Linked DNA regions of Bombyx mori. The protein of the gene in region 1 purifies or fractionates together with the protein of each later gene. This does not show direct contact. Links are inferred from orthologs where the notes say so. Each region holds a gene or a part of one and is shown in the gene's direction. Other genes may lie near its edges.

Region 1 (3,837 bases):
AGAGTCAATTCTAGCATAGTTATTTCTGCTACCATTCCTGTTTATGATAGCTGTGTTTCAATACTATTATAACTACCACATAAAATTTCAGGATGAACGTTCACTTAGTTATGTCAATGATGTCCAGTAACCACATGAGTCCATAGACCATGAATCTGTCTATTTAATAAGAATAAATAATGTTTTCGATGTGTACACTCTAGTTTATGTATTGTATTCGTCGCCAGGTTTGACCCGCATGGACATTTTGACCGCGATCCGCAACGCTACAGGCCCTAGACCGGCTTTATTCGTCCCTGAGGTATCTTTTGAGCTTCTGGTCAAGCGACAGATTAGAAGACTGGAAGACCCTTCGTTACGTTGTGTTGAACTGGTATGCTTATTGTTAATAATCTTAAAAATATTTACAAAATATTAAAATTAAAAATATATTTCAAACATATTAAATAATAATTATTATTAGGCAAATTAATATACATTAGTAATATATCGCTTACTTATTTGAAAATTTAATTAAATTTCATTCTTAAATGAACGACTCATAGTAGTCATTACACAGCTATACCATGATCATACACTCATTATTTTATGTTGCTGTTGTTGACCACTAGAACGTTATTTAATTATTCTGCTGTCTGTACACTACTATATAGGTTTACTTTTAGTGCTATATATTAAGCAGTAGATAGAGCATTTGAAATTTTATACCTACCGTGAACATTTCCAGAACTGCCCTTCGTATATGTTATAGGACTACACCCTGTATTTACATGATTATTATGAATAAATTTCATAGCCATAGTATATTTTTACCACACCCTGTATTTACTTACATGACTATTATGCTTAAATTTCATTAATGGTATTTATTAGCCATAGTATATTTTTTTACTAATGCCTTTTCACCCAATTGTAAACAAGCATTATATTCGTTTATTTCAACACACAGGTACACGAAGAAATGCAGAGGATCGTTCAGCACTGTGGCACAGAAGTCCAGCAGGAAATGCTACGTTTCCCACGCCTGCACCAGCGCATCGTCGACGTCGTCACGCAGCTGCTGAGGACTAGATTGCCTCCGACCAATTCTATGGTAAGTCGATTTGTTATACAGCATTCATAATACACCATTGTATCGAAAGCGCCAACGAAAATGATAGACAATCCTGATACGACCTATATCCTGCTATATATCCTTTTTATTTATTTATTTTTTATTGCTTTGGTGGGTGGACGAGCTCACAGCCCACCTGGTGTTAAGTGGTTACTGAAGCCCATAGACATCTACAACGTAAATGCGCCAGCCACCTTCAGATATAAGTTCTAAAGTCTCAAGTATAGTTACAACGGCTGCCCCACCCTTCAAACCGAAACGCATTACTGCTTCACGGCAGAAATAGGCAGAGTGGTGGTACCTACAAGAAGTCCTACCACCAATAATTCTGTCGTCATTCAGTATCAATGCTGTGGGTAGATGTTATGCGCCTCACGGGCAATCGCCACTTATCTCGGTTTGTGGTGAGCTTGATACGCTCATGTAAACAACCGCCAACCGCCGACTTTACTTTGTCGATCGATCGCATGGGCAACCTTCCACGCGGTCTGGTGCCTCTTACTTTGCCCTGAACGACAAAGCGCTCTATGGAGTCATTTCCTCGCCGGGAGATATGTCCAAAAAATGATAGTATGCGACAAGCTGTAATTTTATCTGATGGTTCGTAGAACATACAGTCAGAGACCATCGCTTTACAACCCGTATAGCTTTATCTGTTTCCAGTTGTAAAAGCTGACGCATAGTATCTTGTTTAACTAACTTTACTAATTTAATTTATAGTATTTATAGTAACTAGTTTAATCCTTGCTTGCGAAAATTTTCATTTATCAAAATTATTTTTAATAATGTACAAGTGTAAATGTTGTGCTGCTTGCCAGTAATAGTCATAGTATTATCGCGCTTTCTTTTATTTTATTTTATTTTCTTTGTTGTTTCGTTGTAGGCTGCCCACAGGTTGTTATTACTGTGTGTGCTTATGTATGTTTTGTATTCGGGTTCACCATTTAATTTGATTTTTGTTTCGTTTTTTTATACTAGTTTATACCATGTTTTAAGTCTGTACACACGTACCTAGCCTTCATTCCCGCAAAGAACCAAAGGGAAACGGGGGTGACTGAAAATCAGCGCTGTTCGATTTATCGACCTTGAACAGCATTAGCTGAGCCATCTCCTTTTGCCTTTTTCTCTTTTTTTTCTTCTCTTTTATTAGTATTTTATTTTGTTTAGAATGTGAAAGGCAATAAATGATTTTATGATTATTATTATTATTGTTGTAGGTGGAGAACCTGGTGGCTATCGAGCTTGCGTACATAAACACGAAGCACCCCGACTTCCACCGCGAGGCGGCGCTGGTGTCCGGCCTGCTGAAGAGCGGCGACGACGACCACAGTCCCGTCTATAGACACAAGACTCCCAGGCCTTCTCCCTCACCGGTATCCAACTTGATCAAAGTAAAACCGCTTATTATGAACACGTCTGATGTTTCACTAATTATACTAAGCCTACACGTGTGTTGTGACTGTGTGTGCGTATAATTAGAAGGAAAAAAAGGTTTTATATTAACTTTACCAAGCAAAGCATGCAATTGGAACTTCACTTAAAATATTACTAAACACTGTTTGCATCTTTAAAACAAAAACTGAGTACTGATACACTCAAAAACTATCGAGAGTCGTTATATTTTTATTCAGAATCATTTATATATGCCGTATACGCATATGTCGTGTTTGTTTGTTTTAAAAAAAAACTTATCATCAAATCATTGAAAATTTTACATAAACATGCATCTACCCAGGTAAGTTTTATTCACAATTGTTTGTATTAACAACGACTAACGGTAATTTTAGTGTCGGTTCGAATCTTAAATTACATTTTTTTAAACTTTTGCGGCTATCCCCATTAAACGCACTATTATTAAGACTTTCCTTTACCCGACAAGATCCAATTACGGTTCGACTCGCTGGATTCGAGTGGTAACATCAAAAATGGACTAAAGAAAAGCTGAATATATTTGTTTGTTAACAACAGTTTTTTTTTATGACCTGGTGACAGAGACCTTTAGGTCATATCTTATTTGGAAAATTTTCATTACTTTGGGTTAACAACACCTTATCTGCAGTCTTCAATCTACCCTACAGCAACTAAAAATCGTAGTATGACAAGCCGTTAAGTAATAATGTGTATTATCTAAACCAGAACTGTCCAGAAAACGACTTGTTATCATGCGGCCCGCGACGCATGTTTTAATCAGAAAATAGTTTTGAATATAAATAGTATGGACAATAGAATTCTTTGTCAAATCATATAATCATTATTTGGTATTATTTATCTGTATTCTTGTAACATACCATTCCCATGACATCATTTAAAAGTGAAGTTATCTTTTACATAATTTTTTTTTTAATATTTTAGTCTGGAAAGTATTTTGTTTTTGAAAATATTTTTTTCTGCGGCCCCTTCCAGCTTTTTTAGTAAATTTAATTAGCCCGCAAAGGTATGTAATTTGGACGGCCCTCATCTAAACGATATGTTAAGGTTATATAAATTACTATCTCGAAATTTTTGTAGCTGTTTCTCCGACAAATGGGTGAAAGAGGGTCCGCCCTAGTATTCTTGGCAAGCGTATTGGACGCGTACAAGGTAATTGTGGCGTGGTTATATTCGGGTCGCCATTAACTCGCCTCACTCATTCTCGATTCATTGTCCTACTAAACTTGTGTTGTGACGTTCGATGTCGTGCCATTTGAATACTGTATGGACTCTTTTTCATGATCACAGTGAAG
Region 2 (3,090 bases), on another chromosome or scaffold:
TGTGGTTATTGCACTGTAGTTTTTAAATGTAATGCACGGTAATTTGATTCTGAAAGACGGTTTTTTTTTATATTTGTAGCTTGTATATTTGATCTGGTAGCACTGGTATGAACTGTAAATGTAAAGCGTAAAAAACCGGTATTCTTAAATAAAAACCGGTATTTATCGGTATGTATAAAAACCGGTTTTTCTCCGGTTTTCTTCGAACCGGTTTACATCCCTACTACCTATAAATGAAATTAGCAAAGTTACGCTTTCAAGGCTACCAAGGCAAGTACATGATTATTAATAATAGCTTCAAACATTATCAATTTATCGGGAAAACAATTTGTGATGATTTATACATTGTTTGCAAATGCCTGTGGCGTTTAAGAACGCACATTTTTATGATGCGTAAGCCGGAACGCACGAGAGATGGGAAAAAGAATATAGTCTGTGAGACGGGACCTTTTTTACCACCAATTTAAAACGAAAATATAATTTATAATGTGTTTAATAACTAATGTAATATAATTACTTAGAATTGTTTATGCCGCTACAACAATAAAATTTCTATTGTTTCAACTGTGGTGTTAATTACATAAAACACGACTTTACGGCGAAATAAAGAAGGGACTCTATATGGATTCCCATATGCCTATTAGATTGATTATGCCTCCAGTTATCTTGTTAATATGGATGAGACAATTGTACAAATGAGACATACAAACAAAGGTGTATTGAAAAGTTTTTGCCCATTATTTATTTTTAAATTTTTTGTTCTCACAAAAACTAATCGAGGAACAAGCCGAGAATCTGAATCTTTAATTCAGAACGTGCATGGCTGCATGGGTATCAATTAATAACAGTTTAAACTGGAACAATGATTATTAGGTAGTATAAAATAGAAATGAAAAATAGGTATATTATTTGAAACAAATCCTTGATCGTTCGACTATAGTAGAATGTCATTTGTGCCAGTATAGACCATAGACAATTAAAAAGTTTTTCCACCATTTTGTTTCTTTACTCTATTCCTTTTCGTCATATGGCGTAGTAGTTGTTCGAATCGGTCCGCCATATTAAATGAAATCAATAAAATAAGACAAAATGTCGCCTTACTAGTGCGCGGAAAGTAATCCAATAACATCTAAATATTGTGTGATTAAATCATCAAGAGGATCACAATGGAGAATTCCTACGGTGTGGGAGTAGTGAACAGATACGCTCTTTTCTTGGACGATGAGACCGATCCTCTTGATGCGTTAAAAGCGCGAGAGCAGGCGAAGGAGCTCAAAAAGAAGACCAAAGAAGCCGAAAAAGAGAACAAAGGCAAGCCTGAACCCAAGCCCGCTAAAGGCGTAACCGTTCCCACCCGGAAGGGCATTAAGGAAACTCAAAATGTGAAGTCTCAAGACATCAAAAGTGGAGAACAACAGAAGGGTAAGGGACCTGCACGCCCGGTCGATCGTAATGTTGAGCGTCCGCCTCCGCGTCGTCGTGAAGATCGGCCGCAGAACGGTACCGCAGAAAACAAGGAAGGAGCTCCGCGGCCACCGAGACGCGAGTTCGGCGATCGTCGGCCTAACTTCAACGAGCGCCGCAATTTCAACGACAACAACCAGGACGGTGCAGAGCGTCGCGGTCCACCAAGACCACCGCGTGAGCCTCGTGAGGGACCGCGCGGGCCGCGTTCTTTTGACAATAGAGGCAAACGTGAGTTCGACCGAAGATCCGGCTCTGACAAAACCGGTGTGAAATCAGTCGACAAGAGGGAGGGCGCAGGTCCCCACAACTGGGGCACGATCAAGGACGATCTCGACGAGTTGAACAAAACCGGTTCTGAGGGTGAAACTACTGAAGAGAAGGCTCCTGAAGCCGGCGCTGGCGATGGACAAGTGCCTGAAACTGAACGTGCAGTGCCCGCTGAGGAAGAACCGCGTGAGTTGACACTCGATGAATACAAGGCTTTACGCAACGCGCAACGCACCGCTCCGCAGTACAATTTGAGGAAGGCAGGTGAGGGTGAAGACTTGAGCCAGTGGAAAAACCTGGTTCTGTTGGAACGCAAGAAGGAAGGTGACCGTGGTGATGATGAGGAAACTGACGAGGAATACGATCTGGCCGACTATCCACAGCGCGTGGGTCGCCAGAAGCGTTTGTTGGGCATTGAGTTCACATTTAGTGACGGTGCGAGGCGCGGCGGTGTGGGCGGGCGAGGCCGCGGACGGGGCCGGGGTCGCGGACGAGGAGTGCCGCGCGAGGAGCCGCCGGTCGTGGAGGAGCGCCCGGTACAGCGTCACCACGTGACGCCGCCGAAGGTCGACGACAGCAAGGATTTCCCCTCTCTCAGCTAGACTCGCAGTGAGTCTAGATTCTTCTCCCTTTCGAAGCTAGAGTTACAAATTATAATGTATGTACTGTTATTTTTGAAGTAAATATACAATATATTTACAAGAGTGTGTATTGTATTACATTGAAATCAGTCTACGTAGTTATTGGCTCTAAATTTTGTGAGTTGATTATAACTTGCAACGCTGCCTGGGGATTGACATGTTTCTGTGGAAAGGAGTAAAGGGGGAGGATTCGTCTTGTTTAAGTTTTATTTTTTGATACACATACTACTGCTACATACTTATTATTGTGGATTTATAACAATAGCTTTTATTATATTGTAATCACACCAGCTTTTCATTTTACTGGTTGAGTAATCGGTGATAATAAGATTTCAACCTTCAGACTGACGACAAGCTATGGATGAGTTTGAATCTACTCCGTCACAAGTTAGTATAGTATTTTGTGAAGAAATAACCCTTGCATTTTATATCATGAGTTTGTGTTGACAAATGCAGACTGGGAACTGTAAATAGTTATATTTTAAAGATAAGGTCAAAAAGAACAAGGTTAATATTTGTTGTTACACGAACTTCTTGAGTAAATAAACATTTTGTATGTGTGATACATTTCTTGGTTATTTTTAAATTCTTGAGCTGTCCTCTTATCCAAATGCCTCCCCCCTACATTTTAAATTTTGATACTATAATCTTGTGAATGAATATTTTCTTTCGTGGTAAATCATCGAAATTTATATTCATTTAAAACTACAGGATG

Evidence for each region.
Region 2: the proteins of dynamin-1-like protein (region 1) and VIG purify together in Homo sapiens (affinity purification with mass spectrometry; 3 studies listed by BioGRID and IntAct, with this or other methods). This does not show direct contact. The link is inferred for Bombyx mori from reciprocal best matches to the Homo sapiens genes DNM1L and SERBP1.

Annotation. Positions count from the first base shown.
Region 1 is NC_085119.1:10,597,128-10,600,964, reverse strand, and holds part of dynamin-1-like protein, read left to right. Parts: intron 1-227; coding exon 228-373; intron 374-949; coding exon 950-1,093; intron 1,094-2,331; coding exon 2,332-2,505; intron 2,506-3,622; coding exon 3,623-3,694; intron 3,695-3,837. UniProt on the Homo sapiens protein: Functions in mitochondrial and peroxisomal division.
Region 2 is NC_085116.1:3,010,937-3,014,026, forward strand, and holds VIG (plasminogen activator inhibitor 1 RNA-binding protein-like), read left to right. Parts: upstream 1-1,166; coding exon 1,167-2,336; 3' UTR 2,337-2,436; downstream 2,437-3,090. UniProt on the Homo sapiens protein: Ribosome-binding protein that promotes ribosome hibernation, a process during which ribosomes are stabilized in an inactive state and preserved from proteasomal degradation.